3 linked regions of the Mytilus edulis genome follow. Each later gene encodes a partner of the first gene's protein in a complex. Links are inferred from orthologs where the notes say so. Each region holds a gene or a part of one and is shown on either strand. Other genes may lie near its edges.

Region 1 (11,217 bases):
TATTTTGCGTGTGCTGTTTTGTGGTCTAGAAAAAGCGTCATCTTTGTAAGATGAGCTTACAAGCCTTTTCTAAAGTTTATTTGCATGATTCTAGTTATTATATATCAGTAGAAAAGCCGCTACTTGGTGGTACAGTGTAAAAACATTCATTTTTGTTTTTTCTATAAATATAGAAGACAATTATTTGGTCACAACCAGACTTGGGGTAATTGTAATTGTAATCTTTAATCAGCTGTAATTGATTACAATTTTTCAAGTAATCATTGTAATCATTAATCAGCCAAAAATTTGATTACATGTAATTTAATTTAATCAATTACTTTTCAAAATGCCCTGTAATCCTAATTACATTTTGATTACAATGAAAAAAATCTTGAACTGTGTTTATGGTCAATAATGAACCTTTTGTTATTCTAATTTAGTAGATATTTAACAAGTTAAGATAGTTTGGTTTACTTTATCAAGCATGTTAATTGATTTGTATACTTCAGTAAAAAATAAACTTACAATATTAAAAAAGTCATCATTAGCCTAAGAAGGCCTTAGTAAAAGATATTGTACATGTATTCACAATTTAAAGATGTACATATATATATATTTGATAAAAAAAAAACTGTTATATTTAAGCAATATTATATTTTTCTTTAACCCTGAATTATAATCTTTTGTTAATATTGTTATTATTGTAAACTTTCAGTTGACAGGTAGGAAACCAATTAAGGTTTGTTTTTATTGCAATTTCCAATTGAGTATAGCTGTAGGACAATATATATGATAAAAAATTAATCAGACATGAGAAAATTCATCTAATTAGCACAAACTAAATTAAAAGTTGGACAAATATCTTGTTTAATATACGCAAATTTGTGTATGTACTTGGACTGGACATGTAAATTGCATTGACTTATAGAACTTGTATTTTGTTTACAATTTGTTTAAACAATTCTATTGATTTTTATCATAATTTTTATCTGTTAACTTTATTTCATCCATATTTTAACTTCTGAAAACTGCACCTTGAAATACATATAAAGTCTGGAAGAGGTCAGAATACAAACAGCAAACTCTTTATAAAGCCATATTCAATTGAAGTCAAAATGATTCAGAGATCAATGATGATAAAGTGTAATTGGTGACACAATGTTCATGTATGTCATGTATGTCTGTAGTGAACTTTTGTGGTTTATTAAATAGATGAAGTTTGAAGTTATCATTTTAAAATATATAAAACAAAATTCTTTCTAAAAAGAACTAACATTATATTAAACATTAATTCATTCTCATCATTCAAAACGTTTTTTTTTTAATTTATTGTAATCAGATGTAATCATGATTACTTTGCCAATGTAATCATTAATTTAATCAGACACTTTCAGAAATGAAGTAATCATTAATTTAATTTAATCGTACAAATGACAAAGTAATTGTAATTTAATCAATTACATTGAAAGTAATCGGACCCATCTCTGGTCACAACCTACATGACCTACGGTTTTATTTTCTTCTACATATATCTGAATAACCAACAGAAATCTTATTTCTAAGTGAAGAAGTTGATAGTATTTGTAGAAGTGTATTTTAACAAATAGCAGTTTTCATTCTAACTATACCAAAGTAAAATGGTTCATTGATGAATAAAAGAAAATACCTGTTTTGTGCAAATATTCTGATCCATTGCACTGTATTGGTGCCCATTACACACAGAGCTGGTACTACAACTGTAGCTGACATGGTCATACCAAAGTGAAATGTCTCTGCTGAGGATCTAATAATGCAAGGTAATACATGTAATCATTAAATGTTAAAACTGTACTCAGTTAATGACAAATGTCAACTTGGTTTTTCTATCAATAAAAATTTGTCTTCTCTCATTTGATTCTGATGTTGAGAGATTAGTGAATATGGGGTTTATGCCAATGTGATGGTTGATATTTTTAAGACTCGGCATACAACTACCTGTCATAGGTAAATGCTACCAAGAAAATGGTCATAGATATTAAATTGTAAAATTTAAATTCATAATGTTTATACTGGCTATATTATAAAAAGAAAGTTTCATTTAACAGGAATATCTATCATGTCTATATTATCATTATGTTCTATTTCCAGTCAATTTTTATCCCATAAAAAAACATTGAAATATTAGCAGCACAAAGACTTTATAAATCAGATTATAAATAAATGTGAATTGTTATTTATTCTGATTGTATAAATGTGAATTGTTATTTATTCTGATTGTATAAATGTGAATTGTTACTTATTCTGATTGTATAAATGTGAATTGTTATTTATCAGATGGTTTGAATCTTTTTGTCTTAATAGTGAATATTGAATCTACATGTACATGTACCATGTGTACCTGTCTTATCAAATGTTGATGAACATATTTGTTTATAAGTAATTTTTGCTGCTAAGGGTAGTCTAATATACACTGTACTCACTCTAAGAATGGTGCACCGAATAAAACTGCTATTACATGAAAAAATATTGATGAACAAAATAACAGTGATCCATTCTTCAAAATGATTCTTATCTGAAATAAAAAGTATATGTTTAAATACAAGTTCCATTAAAATATAAACATTAAAGATGAACATTGATAATATGAAAAATTACATATGCATGTAGTAACTATTTTACTAATCTTTTACTAACCAACATGATCAATCATGTCAATGGGAACAGTTATCCCTCTATCATAGATGGGAGGCTTTCATGAAGATTTTCTTAAAAAATTTAAACATGTTAAAAGGCCTCAAACGCTATAACAAAGAAAATTGAGACAATATGGGTTTTCTTAGTTTGCAGTCCCTTACCATAGATCAAATTTTTAAAATTTAATTATAAAAAGCTGTGTGGTTAGTTGAGTGGCAGCAAATACTGATTTTAAAAACGTTTGGGTTGATATTTCTGTCAATATTATAGTATTTCTTGCACAAACTGTGACAAAGCAGGGTACATTTTTATATCATGTCAACTTGTAAGTAATATTTGCCATTGGTTGGTCCAACCACTATACATGTATCTTTCAAGACTGTTCCAGCCTCCAGGACTTTTTGTGTAGACATGTAGAAGTTAGAGTCGTTCTGAACACCAATCAGGTGACACTGCACTCACTCTAAGAATGATGCACCAAATAAAACTGCTATAACATAAACATAACCCATACCTTGGGGTGGAGCTAGACAGCTAGCTCAATTGGAACCATCACATTACCTCTCAAATGTTTTTGTTAAAAGAAATTTATATACATGTAGATGTCCTCAGGAAATTTAACAACATGCTTACATGTAAATTGCTCTGATAAGACCACACCTGGAATACAGTAGTTCAGTATGGGACCCCTATTGGAAGAAGGACATAAAAGTATAGAAATGGTACAACACAAGAACTACAACTACCAACCCGGCTCTATGACCGCAATTATACAACCTTTGAATCAACCTACTCCTGATACTAGAAAAACAACAAATCGCTTAAAATTATTTCAGAAAATACTGTACCACCAAGTAGCCACTGAAATTCTCAAATACTACAGTACACACTGGGACATGGTCTGAAAAATACCACATCAACAACAAGAAAACACGTCATAGCCACACAGACAGCATCATGCAGCCACAATGCAACATCTCAGAAAACAAATTCAGCTTTTTCCCTGTAACAAACCGGAACTGGAACCATTTACCAGGAAACATCACAACTTACACCGACTTGAACACTTGAATGACTTTCAAGGAAAAGCCCTGGTCACACTTCCATCCTGAGACCAGAGACACAGTGATGCTCTAAAGATCTTCCATGTTTTCATCCAGCACTGATCACAATTTTAAACTTGTATAAATTTATTTCCTTTTCGGTTTTGTCAGGTTTGATGATCACAACTTGTACAGCACCTGCACTTAATGACACAGCATTAGGGACGACATCAAAAGATCGATGTAGGATAAAAAACTTAAATCGAATAGTTTGGGGGTGGGGGGTCAACATTGCTGCAAGTTTTGTTAATCTAAAATCGATTTTACATATATGCATATAGGTAAATCAATTTTTCCTAAATTAAGTTAAGAAGGGGGGTAGGGGTCAGCAAAAAATCTATGTGAATTAAGTTTTTAATCCTACATTGAACTTTTGATGTCATCCCTTAGCTTGATGGTATTTTTCCGTTGCTGGTTAACGAAAGAAGAGGTAGTACACATAATTGACAACTTCCTGTGAATTATGACATCTTGAAAGAGCTTCTTTTTTTTTTAATCTTAATTATTTGGACTATATAGTAGTATAGAGAAAAGCCTTTCAAAAGGAGACAAAGCTAACCAGGTACCAATTATAATTTTTTATCAGAAATTTCTTAGGAAAAAGGGAAGGTCTGTGTTTGATACATGCCAGTGATTATTTCATACATTCTTACTTTCGATAGTATCCCTGCATTCCTTTGAGATGTACCTCCATGGATATTCATAAAATTGTAAAGAATGATATTGAATACGCTGATGAACAATATAAATAGTTTTGTGACAATAAAGCGATATTTGACTATACTAAACAGATTTTCATTGTTTATGCTAAAGAATAATAACATCAATGTACTAATAGAGAATATAAGATGTCCTTTTAGCAAGGAATTGAGAGTTTCTTTCGCTGGCAAACGATTTGCCATGGGGGCAGACATCTTTGTTTACGATCCGATTGCTTCCCTTTGAAGAGTTCCGGTTTCTGTCAAAACAAATACACGCGAGCGTCAGTTGTTCATGTCAATACACATCTTCACGTTTCAGAGAAAAGACGTTGAAAAGGGGAATATTTTTTGTCAATTAGGTATTTATATTGCATTAATCATACACAATAGTTCTTTAAAGCTAAAATATTCGGTTAGAGGTGCCACGCCCCCTCCTACAGTCAGCTTACAAATTTTGGACATCTGTTTTCGTTCTCATAAATGCAACCTAAGAAAAGAACGTGAGAGCTGATTGTCTCTGGATAAACAACCTGAGTGCAAAATCATGAAGAATTTTGTAGGGCCAATAATGAGGGTTGATGACGAATAATGGTAAAAAATATTGCCAAATATCATTAACAGTAATTTTCGGTGCCGGTGGATAAAGTGTACACTTTCTTTTAGACGATAAAAAAAAGACTAATTAAGATGAATCACATAAACAATTTGATGCTAACAGTAGCTTAAAATGATTATGTTTCAATGTTCGATAAAATGTTTTCCCTGAAATAACCCAAGATCAACCACAGCAGTTCCCTAATAGATACAAATCAGAATGTTGTGTACCTTTGACTCAAGTTTAGTCATGGATTCCAGGAGATATTGGGTATACATCACAATGAGACACCAATCCAACAAAATACGATATTTGTAGAAGTCAAAAAATGAGGTTATCATACAAATGTACATTATATCATGGTAATTTTTGTGATCTTTTATTTACAGGTATACAAATGTGTGACAGTCTAACTACAATAGATGAGCTACCAAATGAAATTCTTCTTGTGATATTTAGCTACTGTAATGTAGATTCATTGAACAATTCTTCGTTGGTTTGTAAGAGATGGAATATTGTGATTGGTCAATCAGATATTTTATGGAAGGAGCTATGTTCTTCATTACATGAAACCAGGAGGCTGATACAAGTAGACAGGGAGCTTGGTAGATCATGGCAGGTAATAATTTACAAAGAAAGGCTTTTTAAAAATGTATAAGATACCAGAAGTACATTACATAGTAATGGTCTTCTGAAGATATACTGAAAATGAACAATTAATGAAGTTATAATTCAAGCACTAAAATCACACTTATCAAATTCATATATTTTCATTTTTTTGCCAGTATGTACAGTTCCTCATATTTTTTTTTCAGGAAACATTTAAGATGAATTACAAAACTAATGACATAAAGAAGAAATGGAAGAAAGGAGATTTTAGTAATCCAAAAAATTACCAAGAACTGGCACCAAAACCAGTTTGTAAAATGGACGATGAGAGCTGGGGCGAAATATTCCAGATGGAACTGGATCGTTGTTGATTCATATTTTCCCATTTATCTAAGATATCAGCAGCTGAAAAAAAAGAATAAATATGAACAGCTTACTAAAAGGATTTAAAAAAGACTGAAACTGATAACTACCAATGACAATTTCATTTCTTAATGTTTTAAATACTCTAAGGCCAAAAAGTGCAGATGATAGGTCTAATTTTGACAATTATTTGGTTCTCAATTAAAAAAAATGTTTTAAGGTAAAAATATAAACAGAAATATAATGTACTGCAGAAGTTTAAATATTTTTCTTTATAAGGTCAGGACTATTAAAATGACATGTACAAAAATATTTTTGTCTCACTGTTGAAGACTTAATTTATTTTACCAATCTATTATAGGGCAGCTTGAATATATTTTCGTTATATTGTTAAGGTTTTTATGTAATTTTTTTATTTACGATATTTTATGTTTATGTTTTTGTTTATTTAATTCATAACAAGTTTTAAGATTTAGTTTTATTTGCAAGTTGTTTTCTCTGTAGATGTACAGAATATATGTTTGTTGTTTTCATATCGAAGTAAATGAGATATATATCAACACCTTAAAAGCAGTCAATATTGTTCATATTGATGAAGAATATTGTTAAAAATGCTTAGACTGAACATAAATTACTTAAATTCCATATTGGTGTACCTAACTATTTTAAACAGAGTTTAAACAATACCAATACATGTTTTTCATGGTATATTTAAATTTGTTTTCAACAGTTATGTCTCTATATAACAGATATTAAGACAAAATTTAGATTTATGTTCTACAAAGCATCTTTGCCAATTCTCAAAGATACAGACAAAAATATTTGATTTCATCATTTATCAAGACATGTAATTTGCAAAGGGAGATAATTTCTACCAAATTGTGTTCAATTCAGGGGGAGATAATTTAACAAAATATTTACATTGTATTCAGAAAACATGAAAGATTAAAACATATATTTTTTTTTATCATTTTCTGAAAATAATTTTATGGAATAAATAACCATATGGTTGATTTCTATTGGTGATTTTTTGCTTTATTTTAACACCCTCCTTAAGTATGAGATTTATACAATTTGGAACATTTCGTTCAGTCATTTTGTACATTTGATTGACCAAAAACATATTAAATTTAGAGACTTTTTGGAGATACTGGCTATCATTGTATATATACAGGTATATGTAGACGTATATTTATAGACATTTTGTCCTACACATTTTTTTTACCATCTTGCAGGATGTTTTTTTTATTTAGAAAAAAATCATTCTCATTACACACAGAGTTTGGCCCAAAAAAATCTGTTTTTGTGTTGATTGAATCATTATGCAGTAGATTTTTTTTTTTTTATCAGGTCTGGAACTTGATTTTAAAAGAGTGATTGTTTTATTGCTTTGATTGTTTATGAATGTATATTGTTTGATGTGTTAATTTATTAATGTTTTATAACATTGATTGTTGTAGAGTATTTTCTCAACTGTGCTCATCACAGGCTGTGCTTGTAAATAAATAAAATCATTTTATAATAATTTTTATTATTTCTCATCCATGTAACCAACTTTTTACATTCTAACAACTGGTTTATACACCACATTGTAATAATTAGCACACTTCATGATCAAAATGTGTTTGTAATAATACCTGTTATGCACTCAAATTAAAATGCAGAATTCAATGTCACAAATGTTTCTCTAAATACATACCATTGTGCATAGAGAACATTTGGTTTACTGGTTCTCAAGCCTTCATTGGTTGAAATTCATGACTTATGTTTACAATTTTCATTTGCCATTGCACCAAAAAGTGGACTATGAGTGATTGTAACACACAGAAAAACACAAAATTGTTGTTACCCTTCTGAGATAAAAGATATTTAAGGATGTACTTAGGTGAAATTTGAAAAATTAAGAAATTTAATTTGATACTACATTTTGAAAGAGCACCAGTTAAGGAACAAAATAAGCTAAAAATATTGATAGATAATGGACCTACTTTTTGAGATATTTGAGTTTTAAAAAAAGGCGGGAAAAGGCTGACTCGGACTTTTACCTTATATTTGCATTGGTTTTATTTGGGTCACAAATTGAAAGAACAAAAATTAAGAAATTGCTTAAATTTTGGAAAATGGCCTTTTATGACCTATTGAAGACTTTAATACAGAGAAAAATGGGTGTTATGGGGCAATTTTTTTTACCCTAGATTGATGGAAAAATACCAAGGAGTCCGAACATTTTACCCCAATTTCTAAACCTCACCTTAGTACATCCTTAAGTCTAAAATTTTGTTCTATTGTTAAACAAATCATTATAGACTGGACAAAGCAATATATATACAAATCAAATTACACCATTAGAAAGCTATCTATTGTTTAAGACTAACAGTAATGATTGTAAAAAACATATAATGAATATTGACAAATCATAAAAGTAAAGGAATGTATCTGTATACTTAAATAATTCCACAAAAACTATTAAATAATATACTATTACCTAAAAAATAAAATAAAATGGAAAATTATGCAAAAATTGGTATGAACAAATGTTGACAAAATATTATATTTGGTTCATATTAAAAGGTGAAGATTACTATGGAAGATGTGAGTTAAACGACAATGAAACTATTACCAAACAACATAAAGTAACACAAAGTTATAAGTAAAACATTTAAAGGTCTATTCATGGTCTTCAATATTCAGCTGGCTTTTGAAACCTGACTGATAGGAGATATGTTTGAATTCTGAAAACTTATAGCAATGTATCTAGTTTATAAAGAACATTACGAGACAGTAACAGCCAGTGATATATATCCTAGTCATCGCATTAAAACAAATAGTGTTTACATCAACGAATCAAATCATCACCCTTATGTGTAAAATATTATGATTTTTTAGGCCCCACCTACAATAGTGGAGGGGCATTATGTTTTCTGGTCTGTGCGTCCGTTCGTCCGTCTGTTTAATTGTCTGTTCGTTTGTCTGTCCGTCTGTCCCGCTTCAGGTTAAAGTTTTTTATCAAGGTAGTTTTTGATGTGAGTTAAATGACAACGAAACTATCACCCAACAACATAAAGTAACAAAAAGTTATAAGTAAAACATTTAAAGGTCTATTCATGCTCTTCAATATTCAGCTGGCTTTTGAAACATATAGTCAGCTTTCAATAGTCCATTTTCATTTTACCAACTATCGACTCCGGAATTAATATTTTTTCAACAAGTTACCTTTTCTGTGGTAGGACATCTTGTTACTTGGTTAAGCAAGAGCAATATAAATAAGTAAATTAAAGATTTTAATCGTTTAAATTTTTCTGTATATGATTAAATCATTGGACAATAGTAAATTTCCCTCAAAATTGCACAGATTATATATTTGATTTTACTTTGTTTGGTTGCTCCTAATTGACAGAGTACCAGGATGACCTACCACAGAACTGGGAGTCAAAAGTCAAAAGTCAGTAATATGAAAAATAAAAAATGGTCAATTGCATAGAGATTCAACAAGTTGTTAATACAATAGTACAAAAATATGAGATGTGGTATTACTTAGAGACAACTATCCACCAAATACAAAGGATGTTTAAAACAACTGCATGTTACAGTATAGTCATTAACTATAAGCAAAACTCTATACTATAGATAGCTAAAAGGAGGCTCCAGTATTATAACAAAATGTGTAAAATGTTCAAAAGAGAAAACTATGGTCTAAATATAAATTTAATTACTATAACAACAGATGACTACTCTGACAACCACTGGAATACATACTCCTGGCATACAAAGGCACATAAAGAATATGGTGGGGTTAAATAAATTGTGACAATATGTTTGTTTGCTCTAAACTCTTTCCCTAACCTGGGACTGGTGAAACAGCAAAATAGAACAAACAACAAAATCAGCTAAAAAGGAATTGACTGATCAGAGATATGTTTGAATTCTGAAAACTTATAGCAATGTATCTAGTTTCTAAAGAACATTACGAGACAGTAACAGCCAGTGATATATATCCTAGTCATCGCATTAAAACAAATACTGGTAGTGTTTACATCATGGAATCAAATCATCAACCTTATGTGTAAAATATGATTTTTTTATGCCCCACCTACGATAGTAGAGGGGCATTATGTTTTTTGGTATGTGCGTCGGTTCGTTTGTCTGTCAGTCTGTCCCGCTTCAGGTTTAAGTTTTTGGTCAAGGTAGTTTTTGATGAAGTTAAGTCCAATCAACTTATAACTTAGTACAAATGTTCCTCAAAAAAACATTTTTCTAATTTAATGCCAAATTAAAGTTTTGATCCCAATTTCACGGTCTACAGAAAATGATAGTGCAAAGTTCAGGTTAAAGTTTTAATTAAAGTTTTTGGTCAAGGTAGTTTTTGATGAAGTTGAAGTCACATCAACTGGAAACTTAGTACACATGTTCCCTATGATATGATCTTTCTAATTTTAAATCCAAATTAGAGTTTGACCCCAATTTCACAGTCCAATGAACATCGAAAATGATAGTGGGAGTGGGGCATCCGTGTACTATGTAACTATTGTTTGTATCTTAAATAATTATTACAGCAACATTTGGAATTTAGACTCTATATAAACATGATAAAATTCAATCATATATGTATTGACAAAACAAGAAAACTTGAAAATTTACAATATCTCAGTCTCAAGTTTTAAACTTACAAAAGTCAAAATATATTAGGCTATACAAAATATGACAAAGAAGTATATAATATTTAAAAGATAATAAATGGCACAAAAAGTTTTAGGTAGTTTTATGTAAGACAAAGCATGTTCTTGTAAAAGATGAATCATTGATTGCTTTTTCTAGAACTCAAATTCTTTGTCAGTCTGGCATAAAATACACAATGATTAAATAAATAAAGCACTTAAAGCAACTAAAATGGCCAAAAAACAAAGCACAGTATCAGTAAATTAAGAGTATGATCCAGGTTATTTTATTGATCAATATTAAGAAAGAACTTTAGTAAATTGAAAACCTTCAAAGAACAAATACTTCTTTCTCTTTTACAGCAAAATGTTAACACTTCAGTCTCAGAAACATTGTTAAACTTTTCCCAAATATTAGTTCAGATTGTAAAGTCTATTCTATCTGCTTTCACATTAGTATATGAAAAGATGTCAGTTGTTCATACTGTCAATGTACCTCTATAACACTTTAATATATATTTTCTAATACAACCTTT
Region 2 (11,026 bases), on another chromosome or scaffold:
AAGTTAACAGGTGACAAGTGTGCCTTAATTTTCATGTCAGCAGGTGTGATTGTTAGAACCTTGAGGGCATCCACATAGGTAGATGGAACATTTGAATCCAAAAATTAAAACTTTTTTGGTTTATTTTCCCCCCATTTTTGCAAAAATGTTAGCACCTTATTAATACAATATATTCAATTCAAAATAAACGCTATATTTGTTATACATTTTTTAAAAAGTGAAACACTCAACTTAAGACCATATATTCATAATGTTTAGAAAATAGGTATAGTTGTGTTTGGGCTGAATTTTCTTGGTTTTAAGGGAAACTCCATTATAAGCTTGACTTTTTATCTGACATAAGTCTGTTATAACATATTATAAGACTCCTAACTGGCTATAAATAGCCACTCAGTTTAACTGCTTGGACACTAAGCAACACCAAAATGTCATTATTTTCTCTTCTACCCCAAAAATGAATACTGAGGAATTCAATGAGACAAACCATATCAATCAAAAACTTGTCCTTTTATTCCCTGTAAACAAAACAAGAATTCTTAAAATATGGATGTTAGGTTTTATTACTGCAAAAGAGTCCCACACACAACAAAACATGCAAACAAACATGAGAAAAAAATCTTTTAATATCAGTTTTTTGTAAGGTGAAAAAAAAAATATGAATCTAAAAAATTCAACTCCATTATAAATTCTAAAGTGATAAAATTTGTTTCATTTTCATTTTCCCCAGTGTTTGTTTTTACTTTACCTAATTCATAGTCTGCAACATTATGTTGTAAAACTTCTGATACCTGGAGACCATTGACCATCAATGCTACAAGCTTCTGTTGTATATCAAAACCAGCAAATACATCTGTTACTACTGTACCAATATTGTTCTTTGGTATGGGTGTTCCTAACAGTAAAGACAATGTCGGTGCTAAATCAATTTGTTCTATTTCATGAACAGGAATATCTGTAAAAAAATATAATCATTTAAGTAATTAAATCATATATTTGTTATATCTTAGATTAACTATTGAATGAGTAAAATGAAAGAGCATAATTGCCTGTCCAAAGCCAGGAACCTTTTGCAGTCCATTGAGAAATACAGTCTGTTTAACAGATCTGTTTGGTCTCTTGTAGAGAGTTGTCTCATTTGCAATCATACCACATCTTTTTATTTTTATATATCTACTGTATTCACAATTGACATTTAGTATGGAAAATAAGTAATATTTTAAAATTTGAATGAAGCTTGCAATCAATTGTTGTTGTTACATTGCTGTCTTGTTGACATATATTCCCTTAAAAAAATTTCATACACATCAAATACAATTCCATCGATTGTTGAAAAAAGATAATAAACACATTGCCAGCTCTCTGTCAATACCTTTCTTTTTCTTCTGTGAACTGATTTCTCCTGTTCTAAGGAATATGACTGGTACCAATATCTCACTTTCAGTTGCTCCTCCATGTCCGCCCTGGTCACTCATACCATGATCACCACACACAATCACTAAACTGGGGACATCATTCTGGTAAAGAAATATTGTCAATAACTTTTTGCCCAAATGTTGAGAAACAAATTCAATTACTCAATAACTTTTAATTGTTTTCTTGATGGTAAATTCATGTGAAAAATATAACAGTTCCTAAGAAAAATGTGATGAAAATATTAGAAATAATAAATTCAGCAAACAGGAAATACTTATTGGACAGATCACACATTAGAACTCATTACTGTCAAGCTGCTGACCAAATATGGTCATTGTGTTTAGTTGTTTCTGAGAAAAAGTATGACATAGATACTTATTAGACAAACAATATGTTACAATATAATCCCAACTCTTAGAGTGGTTTTTTTTGCCACTGGACGTTAAGCAACCAACAACCAATCAATCATAGAGTGGGGGTTTAAAATATGAGATCAATTATTAAGATTACAGGAAACATTGTATACAAATAATGCTATAAAAATTAAATCGAAATTTTATTTTTAACATATCTATCCCTGTGCATTATTGCAATAATTAAACATATTGACAAGTAGAATAATTCTGAATTAACAATTATCTCGAAAGAAGTATTTATTGTAACCTACAGAAAACTAATAAAAAACATGTGTATATGCAAAAAAATGAAAACCTTTTGTGATCTTCAATCTTTCAAATAATATTTCAATAGATTGATTTTTATAGTATTTAAACAATACCTTACTCAATTCCTGATAAATGTTTCTGATAATATCATCCATTTCTTTTAGCTTTGGACCTATGAGTGGACTGAAGGGACCAGCTATATGTCCTATGTGGTCAAGCCCAAGATAGTGTAATACCATCATATCAAAATCAAGTTCAGAAAGCTCTTTTTCCAAGTGACGGGTCACATTATTATCAACCTGTAATCATGCAGATGAATTACATGTATTTAGACACAAAATCATACAACATATAGTCAAATATAAAGTCTGCTGTTAGCCATACCATTTTTGCCAATTATACACTTAGTATTAGTATGCATATAAACATTTGTTAAAAATTTTCATGATTAAACATTTCATATCCTTTACATATCAATTAATGGTTTTTTCAACAAATTAAAAAAAATATTACATTCCACTATATATATTTTTTTTATGTTCGTCAATGAAAATTTTCTATAATAATATATTTACTTTCTATTGTTATTTTGTGTTGTATAAAATCAATTGATGTAAATAGAAATTTACACAATGTAATTACAGTTGTTTTCCAGTGTTTAACTTATGCTGATTTTTAAATTTAACAAAGTTCTGCTAAATGGTGACATTGATAACATGCTATGGATAATAATGGAAATTTGTGTAAGTTGTGTAAGTTAATATCACTTAATAAATGATTACTCTAACCTCGGTATAGTCAGTTACAAAGAATGAAGTTGTCCCTTCATATCTGACAAAGTGGTCCGGGAATAGATTAAGCCATGTGTCATCACCATAAAATACCATCTTTTTCCCATGATGCTTCATTTGTGTCACAACATTGTCCTCTGTCAAGGATGAAGAACCAAAGTTCATAACTACATCTACAAACCCTGGGATACTGCCAGTTGTCAATGCCTACAAAACATGTTCAACATGCATGGATATACTATCATATGTAAACACATTAACCTTTGATGCTAAGTGGCATTCTTTAACTTTTCATTTGGAAGGAGATGTTAAAACACTTTCATGCCGAATGTATCCTTAAGGAAACATAAATTTCTATTTTTAGACGGTCACAGTGCAAACAGTAAAAATAACCTTTTGACATTTTTCTTGGCCCAGTTGTTCCATAGATATTATGATAAACACCGAATGCATTCGATATATAAGTATCGGGCGTAAAAAAGCGGTCAATTTTTTTTTTATTTTCGAAGATTGTTGAAAAAAAACCCATTCATTTTCCCCAACCCTAAATTTATCAAAACTGGGGTATGACATGTACATTATAACTTTTTCCTCAAATATCAAAGGGAGAAGTTTAATTCAGCTTGCTGTTGAATACTTTTGTTAACTGTCACTATGCAAAACAAAAATAGACATTACTTCACTTTAAAATCTTTCAAAAATATCATGCTCAACCAATCCAAGTCTTTCTAAAAGGCTATCAATGCAAAATTTCTTGGTATTGTTGGTTGAACTGGAAATGAGGGTGGGAATGATTTATGTTCTTTGTATCTTACTTCTTTAATGTTTAATATCCTGTAGGTTCTGAGTAGTACATGAAGTCTATCTTGGCTTTTTTAAGTCATCTCCATTCACTTTTGAAAGATCCTTTTTATGGCTTCACACTTAAATGATTTTACATTTAATTTTCTGACGGCACAGAATGATGGTACATTGCCAAGAAATTTTTAGCGGGTAAAGTTAAACCACTTTACACCATTCCCGACGCGATTGTGAGTAGTACCTCTGGCCAAAGGGAAGCCAGTCGAAGTGGTAAGGGTTTGGACACTTATGACGTCACATACAAGATGCAGTTTTTTTGTACTTCAGGGGTTCTAATTTTGTATACTTTGTCTCCTGATGATGCAATCTAATTTGGCGAAACATGTCGACAATAAAAGTTGCAGTTTATAACTTAAGTGTTTTCGTCAATGTAGAGGTATTTGATTTTTATCTGACAACCCTGCATACCATCTTGTATCTACTTACGGAAGCACAAAACATAGGTGTTGGTTCAGCAGTTCTTTATTTAATAATTTTTTATGGTAAAAGTCATTTGAATTCAATACTGTACAATTTAATTTTAGGAAATTGATTTGTATGTTTTGCATGCAAATTCCTTGTTGACATAATTATTCAAACGGTAGATAACTCTAGTCTACATTCCTGGAGTTAAATTGTACTTTTATTGAGTTAAAACGTCTATCATGTCTATGAGTATGGAATTTGCATAATTTCTTGTGCTTGAAATTTTTGATAAATTCCATGTTTATTTGGAAGTATAATGTTTTGAGCAGTTCATAACAATTCCCATACAATGTATTTTGTATCTATAGATAGTGTTGTGCCTGGCACAGTACATTCTACTAAAAATGTACTGTTTTCTTCTCAATAGAAAGTGGTGTGGTATGTACAAAATAAACATAGTATACAAAGTCCCTGGTCTCAATTAACTATCAATTTTAACTGTGATGTAAAACACACCTTTATTCTTGGTAATGTAACAGTTGGAGGTTTTACTATGGCCACAAATGAATTCATTCCATCTAATTCTTTTTTACTTTGAAGAAATGGCATCTGTTCACCTCCAGCAAAATCAACTCTTAGTGCATCAATTAACACAACAACTACTTTTTCATAGAGCATTTCTGAAAACATTTTTCTATACACATTTGATATCATAATATCATTTGAGTGCAACTTCTGAAAAACATTTTCATGTGAAGATGTGTCGTCCAATATTTTCTTCGGGGATATGAAACTCCTAAGAAAAACAGAATATGCTAGTAACGTGGAAAATATAATAATGGCAATAATGAATATTTTCATTTTTTTCTACATGGGCGCAGACATCTTGTTTTGATTTCTAGAGTTATTTCCCTTGCTCCTTAATTCCAGAAATTCTCTTTATCACTCAAAATCCTCAGTGAACTTCTGAGACAAAACATAGGTATAATATTAAATCCAAGAGTTAGATTCGAATTAAAAAAGCATAAAGTATCATCTTATTTACAACTAATATGAGGCAGGCATTACCTGTAAATGGGGACGAAGTCTGTATGAATTATTTTTTTGTAACTTAATTATTTGTCAAAAAAAAAAGAAACGGAAATACCGTAACGTTTCCGAGTTTGGTTCTGTTGTTAGGGATTTTAGTTGTGACGTTATTTAAATTATGACGTCATATGCAATGTAAACAAAGAAACGCTATCATTAGGTAACGTTTTTTTCATATCAAGGAATTATTAAAAATGAAATTGGTATTGCACGTTTCTTCCTATTTTATACTAGACTGATAAATATATATTTTACTCAAAGTTTCATACAAACGAGACCGGAAAAAGGAAGTATATTGTACATTTCTGCGCAGGTCCGGGATTCCAAAACATGACATAAAAAAAATTGAACGATTTTGAGTTCATTAGTACAATGAAAAATTCGGGAAATTTTCCCGAATTTTTTTTTTTTATTGAATTTTCTACTGTTATTGGGGACTTCGTCCCCATATTACTGTTATTGGCGAAAATTTTATGAGATTTGATAAGAAATGCTGATTTCATAATATAGACCTAACTATTTTATTTATTTCTCAAAGTTAATATCATAACTTGGACTAATACATTTATCTATTTGTCCAAGACTTAATTATATAGAATCATGAACCGGTAAATTCAATATCGTCCGCATGCAGTATAGGTCAGTATAGGTACTTGGGGACAGAACAATTGTTTTTGGCCCTCCCCCTTTTTTCCCAAAATCCGTAATTTATTCCCTAGTTCAATTATTTTTGCGTTTTTCTATCCACAACGGTCACTGATATACCTCATTTATGGGACAAACACTTCTATGAAGAATAATCTGACAATTCGATCATGCCACCGGCACGGTTCACTTTTCTGTACACATTATTGCAATATAACACTCATGAATTTTTATATGATAATACATGTTTATTTGCGCTTATGTTCATCATACGTTGATCCGTCACACCAAGGTCCAAGGGAAGGGTTGAGCGCTCACAAATGTGCTCTCCGTAATGCCGCATCAGGGGCGGATCCACTGAGCCATTTTAAAAGGTGGGGGTTCCAACTATATGTCCCCTTCAAATGCATTGATCGTCCAACAAAAATGGGGGTTCCAACCCCCGTAACCCTCCCCCTGGGTCCACCACTGGCCATATATAAAGCTTTCTATGCGGAACGGGCTTTGCTCATTGTATAAAGAAGGCCACACGGTGACATATAATTGTTAATTTCTGTGTCATTTGGTCTGTTGTGGAGTTGTCTCGTTGGCAATCATACCTCATCTTCTTTTTTATATGTCACATGTCGGGAGTCTGTAGTTTAATGGGGTTCGTTGTTTTATGTCTATCATTTTTGCTTATTTCGTTAATGATAGTTTTGTTATGAGTTAGGCCGATAACTGTTCTCCTAGAAGTGAATTATTTCACATTTTTCATGTGTGGTCTTTTATAACCGACTATACAGTATGGATTGCACTTTGGTGGTTTGATGTTTTTTTGCAATTATATCATATCTTATTTTTATATACATTTCACGAGATTTAGTTTCTGTCTATCATCTGTGGCGGATCCAGAAATTTGTGTAAAAAAGGGGGGCATTAATTGCCTAAGAGGGGACCGCCCTTGTCATGCATCAGTGATTCCCTAAATAATCAACCACAATTTTTACAACAAAAGGGGGCCAGGGCACCCTGACTCCCCTTAATTCGCCACTGATCATTGATTCTACAAAACCAAAATTATCCATTACTAAAATCTCTTCAGTTTTCGATCTAATATTGTTGATTTGAACATTATTTTCTCTATCGTCTATAGATTTTGCCCCAAAAGTACATGTCAGCGGGTAATCAATAAGTTACAAATAGACAACAGGCTGGCTTTTCTTTATTTTGAAGTCGTTTTCGTGCATGTTCTCGCTGCTTTCTTATTTATCAAGAACCATATCTACTGAACGGCAACTTTCGAAATCATCAATTTTAAACCATAGCTCCTTTTTGCCACCAGTAACAACTCTAATTAAAAAAAAATAATGGTTAAATAGTTTAAAAGTGACGACACGGAACCGACATGAAGTGAAATTTTTCTATAAATATCACATGATCATGGGCTTTCTCTTAATTTATAAAAATATTGTTATTGAATAATTTTCTTCGAGTTTCTTGTCCTTCCCTTATTCGCCAATAGCTTTTCTGTAAACACGAAACCTCTCTTTAGTACTTTTACCTATAACAGCATAGAGCAAGTGCATGTTAAGACAGCATCTCAATTTAAACAAAATCCAGATAAAAAACTGGAAGTGACACTGGAAGAAAAAAAATGAATTCACAGAACTACTTTACAACTAATATGGCAAAGTTAAATTAACAAATAAGAAACGCATGTAAAATTTAAAAAAAATCGCTCAATTCCATCTCTATCATCTTACTTTTCATGATCTCCATGATTCTGTGCATGCTGATTGATAACTAAATGCTCTAAAGAGCCTCTGCTATTTATTGGTAAAAATCCATTTTAAAGGGCAATAACTCTATAAAGAGATCTAAAGAGTTTTAAAACTTACAATTACAGACATATTTGTAGATCTTGTCCTGCTGATCGTTTTTTGCTTTGAAGTTTACATCTACATTTTTATCTATTTACACTTCTCAAAATAGTAGGTAGAAACTCTCCGAAAAAAATAAATCATAAAAACTTATTGAAGGGAATTACCTCCAAGAACGAGTCGACTACAATTTCCAATCAGGATGATAGAGGCACATGTCCGTCAGATTTTTGTTTACCAATTAACTATTAAAAGTCAATAGGTAAACAAATAAAGAGACGAGTGCCTGTGCATGATGGCTTAATTGAAAATATGGTATTGCTGATCATTTTTGCAATAAAAAGTTTGTTTTTATCTATTATATATGAAAAAAAGAAGATGTGGTTTGATTACCAATGAGACAACTCTCCACAAGAGACCAAAATGACACAGCAATTAACAACTATAGGTCAGCGTACGGCCTTCAACAATGAGCAAAGCCCATACCGCATAGTAAGCTATAAAAGGCCTTGAAATGACAATGTAAAACAATTAAAACGAGAAAACTTACAGCCTTATTTATTTACAGCTAGAGGCTCTTAAGAGCCTCTATTGCTCACCCGACTACTTGGGTTTTTGAAATCATTTAAAAAAAGATAAAATTTGGCTACAAAGTAACAACACTTTGCCAGCTCCTCATTAAGGAAGGAACATTTATGCTATGTTTGGTTTCATTCCATACAGTAGGTCTCTAAAAGAAGAAATTTGTATGTATTTCCCATAAGGTCCTATGTTTAACTAAGTCCCCCACTGGCGGCCATCTTGGACGTTGGATTGGCGACAAAGTAACAGCACTTGGTCAGCATCTCATTAGGTGCATTCATGCTGTTTGGTTTCATTCCATTCAGTGGTTCTCTAAAAGAAGTCATTTGTATGTATTTCCAATAGGGTCCTATGTTAAACTTAGTCCCCCGCTGGCAGCCATCTTGGATGGTGGATCGGCTACAAAGTAACAACACTTGGTCAGCACCTCATTAGGAACATTCATGCCATGTTTGGTTTCATTTCATTCAGTGGTTCTCTAGGAGAGGTTCAAAATGTAAAAAGTTAACGCCAACGACGGACGCCAAGTGATGAGAAAAGCGAACTTGGTCCTTCAGGCCAGGTGAGCTAAAAATAAACGAAAAACAAACATGCAACACATAAACAAACGACAACCACTGAATTACAGGCTCCTGTCTAGTTTTCAAAATAAAAGGGGGAAATGCAAAATAATGGTGAAAGTCGTCATAAAGGGCAATAACTTCAATAAGGGAGCTCGAGTCACCTGACGCCGTATTTCGGCCATGTTGAATTACAGATCTTGACTTCAGTGTTGATAACTTTTGCTTGTAAATTTTCTGTCCATCTTTTATAGTTTTCAAGTTTTTAAGATAAAATATTATCATTTAAGAGCAGTTACTCCAATAAGGAGTCGTCCGATTGTTTGAGTCATTTTTAACTATGTGTAGGTTATGTCTTGCTTATCATAGCTTTCAAAATCAAAAGGCTACAACTCCTATAAGTCTACCAACAATTTGACTGATATGTACAGTCACGATATCTCAACAATTTTCCCTGATCAGATTTTCTCTTGGTGGTTTTCAGGGCCGTAAATTGCCTGGCCTGTAAGGGGAGGCAGCCTGCCGAACGGAGCGACGCAAAAATTTTTTTTTTACCCATTTTATGCAGATGATATTTTTTCGGGCATTTTCCATGTATGCAATTTGACGTCCAACGGCTGTTTTGCCAGACAAGCTAGCTTGTCTGGCAAAACAGCCGCCCCAGCTTGTCTGGCAAAACAGCCGCTGGACGTCAGAGTAATCTCGGACTAGTATGAATGTTCCTTCACAGAATCCACCACTTGTTAGATTTTTGCTACATTTCATAAATAAGCGCCTTGAATATATTCAATCTAATTAAAACCCGATCTCTCATCGCTCCTGTTTCTGGCTCCCACGCGACATATCAGAAACAGGAGCGATGAAAGATCGGTTTTTAATTAGATTGGAATATATTGAATACAGTTATAAAACAAAGTTAGGGGAGGGTTGGGATCCCGCTAACATGTTTAACCCCGACACACTCTGTATGTGCCTGTCCCAAGTCAGGAGCCTGTAATTCAGTGGTTTTGGTTTGGTGATGTGTAACCTATTTGTTTTTCGTTCATTTGTTTGCACATAAATTAGGCCGGTTAGTTTTCCCGTTTGAATTGTTTTACATTTGTCATTTCCGGGCTTTTATACTTGACCATGCGGTATGGGCTTTGCTTATTGTTAAAGGCCGTACGGTGACCTATAGTTGTCTCATTGGCAATCATACTACATCTTCTTTTTTATTTATATTAGATTGGGTGTGCCGTTAAAGTAAGATTCTTTTTACGTCAGTACACCTTTCCTATATTGCCTAAGATTCTTTTTACGCTTCATCCTGCTTTATGACTCTTCACAAGCTATTTTTTCTTAGTTTAATAAGGGAAACAATTTGCAAACTTAAAATGAAAGCCAAATGTCATAGAAGTTAATAACTAGTCACTGTACTGCCTTCAACAAATCCATACCACATATTACCAAGGATTTGTTCCATATTCTTTAGCAATAAAGCACCGAACTTAAAGTTTTCACTGTAAGGAATTATTGTTTGTCAATTATATATTGATTGTAACAAGTGTATTAATTATATGGTGAAAGGATTGTTTAGATTTCAATGCTAGTGTACAGCACTATTGTTTGCCATTTCGTGGTCAGTTTTTTATGTGGAGGAAGGCACAATGTCTCGAGATAACACACCAGCTTTAGGAAGGAAAGCTGACTCTACTCTACATTGCTTATACTATTACTATAAGAAGGCAAATAACAATTTCACAAATGATGACCTATTTAAATCTCTTCTTGCTTATCATTTTGTTCCTGTCTGGAGTTTTAAAGACAAAGACTAAATCACACAAAATGGTAATAGTTATCAATGAAGGGCCTAAACAGATTAGGGCAACATCTCCTTTAAGAAGTTGACGAACATTTCTTTGTCACATAAGACTTATTCATAGATCTGTGCTTGCTGATAATTTCTTTAAAAGTTGCCTAATAAATGGGCAAAAGCCCAAAAATCTTCAACCCCAATAAACCAATAAGGAGTTGTCCATGTCTCAAAGGTAATTTTCGTGATCTGAAGTTTTTATTGTAATTTTTAAGAAGTTACTGTTAGTAAATTAGAAAATATTGACAAAACTTATCATTCCTTTAATAAATGGAGAATGTGTCCATGGGCCACATATGAT
Region 3 (11,411 bases), on another chromosome or scaffold:
GCTTATTATTACATTTGCAAATGTAATAATAAGCTTATATATACGGTAATTGGGGAGTGAATTTTCCGTCTCCCTCTACACCATTTGCAATTATGGTCTTGAGAAACGATGATACTTGGTACTTGGTAGTCTGTCAGAAGGGGACAATAAATGGCTGACCCGTGCGAAGAGAGAGACATATGTCTTGGACGTTAAAGACACCATTATAGATTTCGTAAAAGAGTAGGCTATTGCCGCTACAAGGTAGCACCCACAAAGTCTTAAGGGATAAATATAAGTTGCAATAACTTGTTTCCCAATTAATTCACTATAAATAAATGTTTAAACTAACCTAAACTAAAACTAAACACTTGCATACATGTATATGAAAAACACGTCACAAGAGGGTTTCATATGAAATAAAATATAAAAAATTAAATCCTCCCACCCACCCCAATTTTTTCAAAAGTTTGATGAAAATCTACAAATTAATTTTAAAAATTTGGCAATTTTTCCCTTTGTAAAGGGACATAACTCTAGAATGGTTTAATTGACACCACCAAAATCCGAACTTGAGTTGTATTCTGTGGTAATAAGCATTGTGTATAAATTTCATTTCACTTAATAAAGGCAAACTTAAGTTAGAGAATGAAAACCAAAAAACCTGGGCAATTTTTCAATTTGTAAAGGGGCATAACTCTAGAACGGTAAAAGTTACGCCATCAAAGTTTAAACATGATCTGTGTTTTAAATTTGTGGTAATAAGCATTGTGTATAAAATTCATAATATTTGGTTTAGTCAAACTTAAGTTAGAGAACTGAAACCAACTTTGTGACTTACATTGTACAGACATAAAATGAAATTTGTTTTTGAGAAATAATATATGTATTAATAACTTCTGTTGTAACCAACACTATCAAATTACTGTATGGAAATTAAATTAAGGTTTTGCTTTTCTTAATAAACACTCATAGTCATACTCAAACTACAGCTAAATTGTAAGCAGGATGGAATCACTAGAATAAAGACAATATCTGTATCACCATATCCACAACTGATTGAACTATATATGTATGTAACAATTTATTGTATCTTTAGTTTCATGTAAGTACAAATTTCTGACTCACTGTTCAAGATTAATAACTTTTAAGTTCTTAGTATGTGTATCCAAGCATATTATGCAATGTACATTTGATCACTCCTACATGTCTTTGTCTCAACTGGAACTAAAGTCGCTAGCATGGCCAAAGCAAGATGCAGGCTTGCTGTTTCCTACATACATGTAGGTTGTATCGGTACAAAAAAAAAAATCACACAGGCAACACATATCTCTATGTCACAACAGTTTATTATTTTATTGTTGACTTGTGGTTTTAGTAATTTTTACAAAGTGATATATATCATATACATGTACTTCTGTTTTGTTCATAATTACCTTCTTGATGTCACTGCTAGTTTGCCACCATGGACAATGTGTAAATAGTTCCTCTATCACGATTATAATAGCCTTAGTATGTGTATCCAAGCATATTATGCAATGTACATTTGATCACTCCTACATGTCTTTGTCTCAACTGGAACTAAAGTCGCTAGCATGGCCAAAGCAAGATGCAGGCTTGCTGTTTCCTACATACATGTAGGTTGTATCGGTACAAAAAAAAAATCACACAGGCAACACATATCTCTATGTCACAACAGTTTATTATTTTATTGTTGACTTGTGGTTTTAGTAATTTTTACAAAGTGATATATATCATATACATGTACTTCTGTTTTGTTCATAATTACCTTCTTGATGTCACTGCTAGTTTGCCACCATGGACAATGTGTAAATAGTTCCTCTATCACCTGGCCTAGGTTAGAGAATGGTATTGGTATACCTAATAGCAGAGAGATGGTTGGTACAAAATCTATTTGGGAAATTGTGTCCCTTTCTTTCTACAACATCAAAGTACAAGTATTAGCAATCATTTTTGTATCTTCATCATGTTCATAGGGAAAGTAAGATGAAAAGTCATACTCAAATTTATTTTTTGGCTAATTATGATTCTGTCGAAGCAGCAACCAATTTTTTACCAGATGCCATATTATTGTCTTCAAGCATTTGTAATGAGTAATAATTTACATTTTACAAACTAACTTACCCCCCTACATTTCAATTAGTTTGTTCTTATGTCAGTCCCTTGTAATTCAGTGGTTGTCATTTGTTGCTGTGTAACATATTAGTTTTAGTTGTTCATTTTTTTAATATTAATGAGCCTGTTAGATTTGTTGTGTGAATTGTTCTATATTTGTGATTTTGGGGCCTTTTATAGCTGTCTATGTGGTATGGGCGTTGCTGATTGTTGAAGGTTGTACAGTGACCTAAAGCTGTTAATTTCTGTGTCATTTGGTCTCTTATCGAGAGTTGTCTCATTGGCAATCATATCATATCTTCTTTTTTATATTTATAAAGCATTCTTTATTAATATGCTCTTCTTTTTAATTCTCTTATTCCACCAATGAAAGATGACCTAGAACTAGTCTACAAAGCATATTTTGTTAAAACATTTGAGTAGATGAAGGAAAATCTTGAGATTTATAGAAAATAGAATATAAATTTCCTTTATAGAATTACACTCAAAATTTGAAGAAAAAAAAATTAAAAATGAAACCAAATCTAATCAACAGCAACTGAAATACAACACAACACAAGAGCAAACTGTACAAATTGGAATCTAATTGGAAAGGAATCAACTTATTAGACAAATACTAAGCACAAATGACAAAAGGACACAATGTACCATTCTTAGAGAATTAGTAGTTATTTTCAAAGCCATATGCATGAAAGCCCAATTTATACTATTGAATGAACCATGAAATTCTGAACAATTTAAAGGTTGGTAAAAGAAATCACAGCATTTTTTCTTGTCTTAACTGAGGTATTACCCATAGATTATGTTGGCTGGTTATCTGTGCAGGACTATACACAAATAACGCTGCTTCTAATTCATCTTTACTGTCTCCGCCATGGTCTCCTGTTTTAGTCATCCCATGATCACCCATCACAAATAATATTGTGTCATCTTTCATCAACCTTGTCACATTCCTTTAAAACAGATTTACAAAAAAATGCATTATTAAGTTAAAAGAATCAGAATTACTTTCAGTATAAAAATCAATGACATGCTACATTGTAGCAAAGGATAAAACAGGTTGCTATTATTTAACAAATAATGTTAACTTTTCATATGATAAATTGATAGAAGACAAACACAAGCATGACAAGTAATGATGGGTCTCAGGTCACAACATTTGCTAGACATGCTAGAGGCAAAAAATTTGGAAAGACAAGATATTTACACACAATAACAAAATTATTTAGAACATTTGTATGCAGGGACACAACATATTTGTCATAGAGGTATGGCAGGTGGCAGGTGCTTTGCAACATTTGGGTAACCCAATCTGATTTATGATCATAAAACATTGTAATCATGTTAATAAGGGGACAAAGTCCCCTATAACAGTAGAAAAATCAATAAAAAAAATTAAAAAAATAATTTCCAATGTGCTAATGAACATTCAAAATCGTTAACTTTTTTTTGTAACTTTTTCATTTTCACGCATTTGCGCAGAAAACTCTTTCTGTCTTTCTTCCAGCCTCGTTTGTCATGAGACTTTGAGTAACAACAGAACCAAAATCTGATTTGTTACTGTAATTCCATTTCTTCTGAATATTAAAATATGTAATTGATATGGACTTCGTCCCCTTTCACAGGTAACACCTGTCTCATATTATTAATACAATCAATATATACATTGCACATGTTGCATGTAAAAGCAGGATAATAAAAATATTTGCAGATCTGGAGGTGTACATTGTATTACCTAATCATATCATTCATTTGAGACAATTTGTCTCTCATAGCTGGATGGTTTGGACCATATCGATGACCACAATGATCAACACCAAGAAAATGAGCAACCAACACTTCCCAGTCATTCTTGCTCTGTTCTTTGAACAGGTGTTTTAAGACACCATCATCAACTGTATGTAAATCTTTCACATTAAATGATGGAAATGGAAACTGTTTATCAAATCTGTTAGGGAACAGTCCAATCCAAGTGTCATCACCAAGAAATTTTATTCTTTTGTTGTGGCCAATTAACTGATCTATAAAATTATCCTCTGTTATTTCAGAGCTAGCAAAATTAGATCCAGCATCAACAAATGTGGGAAGACTTCCCGTAGTCAGTCCTTTCAATCTCTGTAGTGTCGTCGTAGGTGGGTCGGCTATAAATTTGTAAAGTTTTGCATTGTTTGGTTTCATCAGAGAATTTTTAATAAAAGTTAACCTATTTTTGTATGGAATAGAATCATTTGCTGTGGGGTCAAATGAAGCGAAATCATATCGTAATGCGTCTATTACGATTATAATAGCCTTCTTATAACGGACATGCATCCAACAACCCTTTTCTCCGTGCATGTCACTTTGCATGGCAAAGTCAACTTTACAGGTACTGTTTCTTTCTACAACCACTCTCTTCAAAAGAAATCCTTTTGCAAACATAAGCAACCCACAAACGTAAAGTAAGATTAGAAAGCATAAAAGGAAAAAGCATTTAAAGTTTTGTCCCATTTTTTTCCTAAAAAATTTCTTCACATTTTCGCCGGTTTTACGGAAGTTACCAAACGGAAATAATAAAAAAAACTTTTTCGGTTCAGCATTCGTCAAATTTCCGGTTATTAAAGAAAATAACAAAAGAATATAAACAGATGATCACATATAAATGAGAAATATATCGATTAAAAGACATGACCAGAAACATCGATCATTTAAAAAAAATCATGCGCATATAACGTTATGCGACAACTTGCAAAATTTCAGAAGTTCTAGCAATCTTATAAATTTATATAAAAATTCTAATAGTCTAACGGAACTTTTTATCAAAAAACATCAGCAGCTCATGTGACAAGCACCTCTACTGGATAACCTGACAGCATCTCAACAGATTTTGTAAAAGTTATACAAGGAAAAAACTCTGTGTGTGAACCAGCTGTGTAGAATTATATTAAAACAAAAACTAAACATAGCTCTAATTGTGTGCTTTTAGAAAATAAAATGAGATTACGCGATTCGTTTTTCTTCTTGAAAACAAGGCATGTCAAATGACTCTGGGACTAATACAATTATCTAATAGTACCAAATAATTTATTTACATATTCCTCTTTAAAAGTTAGTCTGACAATCGTGAGTTACCTCTCCTTACAAGGCTAAAGTTTGAAGAAACAAAATTAATCTATTAAAAGATGTTTCACGGTATTTGTAAAATCAGAAATAATAATTAGATAAAACATAAAATTTTCGCTATTAAAATGAAGGTTTTACAAATCATATATGAATGCATTCCGCTATCCAAATTTGCATATTTCACAGAGAAATGAACCGCTCACTAAGTTGACAGATTGTTTTCGATATTTTGTACAATAAAAGATAGCGGCTTACAGTAGTTGAATTTCTTTTTATTTCGACCGTTCGACCCTGTGCGTAGTCAAGCTCGTTAAGCACCTACGAGTTAATAATGGTTCAAGGATAGCCAGGATTGCTAACACTGCGTACGTAGTTCTGTTTTGATATATTGATGTGCCAGTTTGATTCCCAAAACTCTTTTATTTATTTATTTTTTAAAATTCATATGTGTAGTTGCACTAACATTTTATTCAAACAGTTTAAAATTTATGAATAAGAAACATGAATCGAAACCATAACATTATATTGGTCTTTAATTTTCAAAGGTTTTTAACCATTTGCTTTTGGATTTGCTAAAATCTAAAACCCACCTAATCACCATTTATATAAAGTTTCATAGCTGACATTTGACATCATAGTTTGAAAGAGGGAAACGTTAAAGTCATCATGATGAAACGAGTGACTGGTGAAACATAATGATTATCCAATTCTTCAACCAATGCATGTAAATCATAAACTAAGTCTTCTGAGCACGGTTTTATCATTTTCTTACTGTCTGTTTTGATGTGAAAATAGGACAGCTACTTAATTGTCGTGTTTTGAAGTCGTAGTTTACCAATTGTCACCTTATAGTAAACAATCAACAAAGGAGCATGGATTTTGAGCACGTGTATAACATGTAGACAATCAGATAAGAGTTTATTTTAATGACAGATCCATATTACGATCTACGAATTTTTTACGAGAGGGGTTAACGGCTAACTTAAAGGTCACTTGCATACGGAAAATATGTCGACGAATTGCTTCCTAGATCTTCCTAGCTGGAAGCAAGCAATAAGAATAAAGTAAACTTCTTCTAAATGTTAACAAATAAAAGAACTTTCTTCAAAAAAAGGTTTTGTACATAAGTGTTATAATGAAAACTGTCCTTTTAATTATTAAACAAAATATGCATCATTATTTTGTAATTTGAGGTTTGATATTACTTTAAACTGACATCTAAGGATCTCGGATTTTGATGCAACGTACTTCACTTTGTAACTATAATATGCATGATTTATCAACATATATACTTTAATATATATACATCCTGTACGTACATGCACGTAAGTTAGTACAAACGGAACCGAAGGACATATGTATAGTTTATTTCAAATATATGATCTAAATGTCTACACTAATCAGGAAAAAAACGATCATGATACAAAACAAAATAATTAACAAGCTTGCTGACAAATATGTAAAACATAATAATATTATACAGACACGTGTCAAAGTTATATTTTAGATACATTTCTAGGTATTGACTATGTTAGAAATAATAAATATATGCGTTGAACATGTTGAAGGGGATTTTTTGTAATATACTAGTACATTAATTTGTAACAGGATACGTATGCAGTCGATTTTACCGGGTTGTTTCTAATATTTTCAATATGGCAGTATTCCATGTTGGAAAATATAACTTTGTTTATTTCTTGTCATCTTATTTCACGTTCTTATCCTTTACCGCGTGTGAAAATATACCTGGACATTTAAAGCCTCTTGGTCACCATAGAAAATCTCTTGGAGGAGTTACATTATTGAAGGAATTCCCATCTCCTACAGACTTTTATGAAAATTACATTGCCAAAAGTGTACCGTTTATTGTGAAAGGTGTTCTAGAAAACGGACAATTTCCAGCATACAAGTTATGGACTGACCAATACTTAGAGTATGTACTGTTTATATGTACTATATGTTTATCCAATCAATAATCAATTAGAAAACTGTATAACAAGTAAAACATATATCAGTGGGATCTGTGTCTCATTCAAATTAAAAATTCATTTACCAAACTGTGTAACTCTGCATAAATCCTATACATTGAATGTATGTTCTATTGTTTATATGGAAAGACCATTGTAGGAATAAAACATGCACTAGCTAAGAAAACATGCACTTCTATAAACGAAGTTTAATAGATCAAATAAAAAGACGTGATAAGGGTTTTTTTTACAAATTAATGTTTTTTTATCAAAAAATATTGATGGAAAAAGGTATGAAAAAAACCCAATGAAATCGACCTATATCTGTACAGAACATACATAAAAAATGCGGATATATATAAGGAAAACACCAATTAGTTATACCGTTATAACTATAATTAATGTTGTGGTCCTGAAGGACGGGGGTTAACAACATAGAAAATTAAAAAAAAAAAAAAAAAGAAAGTACGGAGAAATGTTGGAAAAATAGACAAGAAGACAACTTGGGGCTAAATATAAAGAATCTGAAATTAGCTAAAATTTTGTTTTTGTCATTTTTGACCATATCAGATTCTCGTCAAGATTATAGCGTAGGAGTCGAATACTCACACAACTAGTTTTACCCCGGAACTTGTTTTTGATCCACGTAAGGAATCTTCTTGTGTTTGGTACTGTTCCAGTAATTTTATTGTGACTGGCACATTTTCCGGAAACTCGCTGTGAGTGGCAAAGTTCCAGGAACGTTATTGTGACTGCCACAGTTCCAAGAAACTTCTTGCAGAATTCCAGGCATTTTATTTTGACTTGCTTGGTTTTATGAAACTTGCTTTGAATAGAAAGAGAAAGGCCAAGGAAGGTGATTGTGACTCTGGCACTGTTCCATTAGGAATTGTCATGAATGACACTATTGACTACTGTTCCATGAGGAATTATCATGACTGAAACAGTTCAAAGAGTATTTTTTTTACTATCTCAGTTCCAAGAATAGTATCACGACTAGCACACTTCCATGAAAAATATCATGACTGGCACAATGCCAGGAATTTTATTATTACTGGCTCTATTCTTTGGTGTCTTGGACATGCATGAAATATTTGCCACGTGAAGTTTTGAAGACAGCAACAAGCAGTCACTGTACTTTTGTGTGTTACCTTTTATATTCATTCCACAAGCTTAGCAGAACACCGACAATTGCCTAAATCGATTGAATTTTACGAACAACTAAATGATAACCAAACTAGGCTAGTGATTAGCTGTTACATTTTTTTCTGACACATCTATACTCACTGGCCGCTTGTCAAGAGAAGTCTTGGTTGAAAAATCAACAATAGAAAATGTTTCCAGAACCATGCAGAATATTCTTTTCAATTTGAAAAAAAACTGAAATAAATATGAACAAAAATTTTTGTAATGTCCGTTTCTACCCAACCAATTACCAACATTACATGGTGTCATATTGATTGTCTATTTCTAGATCAATAGAGTCTTAATATTATAATCTATTTCAGTATTTACCCTAACTATGCTTGCCCATCCCGAAGGACATGAGTTTAAAACACGAGTTTAAAACGAGTACGGATGCGAATCCAGTAAAACTATTTAGCTGTGGCCTAATTTGTATCCAATAACTAAAGTATAACAAATGTCAGTAAAGGCATAGGACAAATACAAACATTATTTTTTTCAAAATTTCTTAAAATCTTATATCAAATAGACAATGTTGGTGTCTTCTTGTTGTTATCCATACGATAGTACAATAAAATTCTTTAATAAATATGCTTTTCCTCGATTCTTATTTTCCACATGATTGTATGCCCTATAAGCACATGTGGTTATGCACTGATCGGGTGTTAAAGTGCTTTAGTTAAGCATATGGGTCATTATCAAAAAAAGTGCAAATTTCGACGAGGTAATATTTTGAAAAATTATGTCATTGTTTAAAACTTTTAAATGTGTCCCGCTATTCTATAGTATGGTAGCAACGATATTCAAAAATATGCAATGGGAAAAATGAAGAGTTTCTTCAATTTTAACAATTTTAGGTCGTCCTTTGAAATAATCGTGTCAATGGTGAACATTACAAATTTAAAGCATACATTTAGGTACTAAATATTATTGTTTAACATCAAATACTGTTCCAATTTGTTGTTTAGGTTTAAATTACGACTTATTGACATTATTCATATAGCTGTGCATTCTATTTAAACATAAATTTCAGGAAGTTGGCTGTCCTAATTATGGCCGTTGTAAATACTAAAAAATACACTTAAACTGAATATATGTGAATTGTATAAGGTTAAATGATAATGATATACCTAATCCTTCGTACTCGACCTAAAAACACTTTCATTTATGAATAAAGATTTAAAAAAAATGTCTCATTTTTATATAGTAACACCACTGACCCTTCAGTAACTCCAATGGCACAAAAGTATCACCAATGACATCACATTTCAAATTTTACCTTTATCAAGTACTGAACACAAAGCCAAGATCACCGAGCAAAAGAAAAAGATAAAAAAATAATTCTTAGGCTAAAAAATCTCAAATTATATAATATAACATCCATTACTAAAAATGTCAATAGTGTTACTAAATAGTGTCATTGGTGTTACCAGCATACATCAGTTTGTGAAAACTGTGTATATGTAATACATGATATTGTTAAAACATTGTTGAATAAGTATTGTTTTTCATAAATAATATGATGTTTAGCTTGTTAAACATGAAAAAAACACAAAACAATGCTGATTGTCATGATATATTCAGTGGTGTTACTAAACTGGTCAATGGTGTTATTTTATCATAATGGTCTCACCATTGACAGTAACACCAATGATTTAAGGTGTATTTTAAGATTCAGTTACGAAATAAGTGCTCCATTCCCCTATTCTATATGTTTTTACTGGTTTCTATAATCAATATGTTTCATTATTCAAAGTTAAGGAAATGTTTTCAAAAAATGATTTTTATAAAGGGTACACCATGGACACTATTTCCAATTACGATATAACCTTTACTTACTTTTACGATTTTTTCACTAAATCTTCAACATAATTGTTTGTTTTCTTTTGCATAACATGCTTACAGGTACCATTGCTAAGGGAGAAACTGTTGCAAATGCCCAAATCTTGCGAAAGATAACTCTTATTCTACTAATTTGTCCTTTGGTAACACCATTGACTTAAAAAATGTTACATTTCCTTTTGGTAAAAATTGTTATTATAAAACCAACATACACCTCCCAAAATCATTAAAAAATGTTTGTATGTATCAAAATGCAATAAAAAGTGATAAATCATAATAACAAATGATATGAATAATAGTCCTATTTCAAGTCTGAAAGGATTTATAGTAAAAAATAACAGTTAATTCTGGCTATCTTCAAGGGTTTAAGAAAACATTAAGGATGTTTTTATAACATTTCATACTGTAAACAGTATATTGTGTATCACAAAACATTCATATCTAACATATGCAAGTGTTATTTTGATATATTTTCATGTCTGTGACTTATAAAGACCCAATAACATAGTTTTGCATGTTTTTTTTATAATGACCCATATCTCAATTGCGATTTCAATGTACATACATCTTAATCTAACGTATTGTAGCAAGGAATATGGAAGCCTTTTTGTGGACGTGGAAGGAGGGAAGAAAGAGGACCGTAATGGTCAGGCTTACACAATGCCCATGTCAAAGTTCCTTCAGATATACAACCAATCAAATGTATACATGGTTCATGACGTAGCAACAGAAATGAAAGGTATTTTAGAATGAACCTTTTTTTTTGTAAGAATGAACTTATATTGTGTATTTTAGTATGATAATCTTTTCACAATATTCAGTCTTAGACAGTTATTCCATCATGACTGCCCAGTTATCATAGGACACAGCATCCCTCATATGGTTCTGACATAAAGATACAAATGTAGGCTATATATAGATAGTATTTTTAATAACTTTCATACAAATAATGTTTTTCTCGTATGTGAGTATAACATATTTGTTTTTCGTTCATTTTTTCTTATATAAATAAGGCCGTTAGTTTTCTCGTTTGAATTGTTTTACATTGTCATTTCGGGACCTTTTATAGCTGACTATGCGGCATGGGCTTTGCTCACTGTTGAAGGCCGTACGGTGAACTATAGTTGTTAATTTCTGTGTCCCTTTGGTCTCTTGTGGAGAGTTGTCTCATTGGCAAACATAACACATCTTCTTTTTATATAT

What was found.
Region 2: phosphatidylinositol-glycan biosynthesis class F protein-like (region 1) and GPI ethanolamine phosphate transferase 2-like share a complex: the UniProt entries of both Homo sapiens proteins name them as parts of the ethanolamine phosphate transferase 2 complex. The link is inferred for Mytilus edulis from reciprocal best matches to the Homo sapiens genes PIGF and PIGG.
Region 3: phosphatidylinositol-glycan biosynthesis class F protein-like (region 1) and GPI ethanolamine phosphate transferase 3-like share a complex: the UniProt entries of both Homo sapiens proteins name them as parts of the ethanolamine phosphate transferase 3 complex. The link is inferred for Mytilus edulis from reciprocal best matches to the Homo sapiens genes PIGF and PIGO.

What each region holds. Positions count from the first base shown.
Region 1 is NC_092346.1:8,627,522-8,638,738, reverse strand, and holds the start of phosphatidylinositol-glycan biosynthesis class F protein-like, read right to left. Parts: upstream 4,707-11,217; 5' UTR 4,673-4,706; coding exon 4,412-4,672; intron 2,534-4,411; coding exon 2,442-2,533; intron 1,766-2,441; coding exon 1,649-1,765; intron 1-1,648. Other genes in the region: F-box only protein 48-like, read left to right, coding at 4,752-4,818, 5,444-5,673, 5,870-6,034.
Region 2 is NC_092344.1:91,764,039-91,775,064, reverse strand, and holds the start of GPI ethanolamine phosphate transferase 2-like, read right to left. Parts: upstream 5,049-11,026; 5' UTR 4,997-5,048; coding exon 4,652-4,996; intron 3,077-4,651; coding exon 2,867-3,076; intron 2,378-2,866; coding exon 2,192-2,377; intron 1,515-2,191; coding exon 1,370-1,514; intron 953-1,369; coding exon 746-952; intron 1-745.
Region 3 is NC_092347.1:92,505,993-92,517,403, reverse strand, and holds the start of GPI ethanolamine phosphate transferase 3-like, read right to left. Parts: upstream 4,658-11,411; 5' UTR 4,603-4,657; coding exon 3,851-4,602; intron 3,069-3,850; coding exon 2,909-3,068; intron 1,919-2,908; coding exon 1,769-1,918; intron 1-1,768. Other genes in the region: bifunctional peptidase and arginyl-hydroxylase JMJD5-like, read left to right, coding at 6,870-7,147, 10,796-10,947.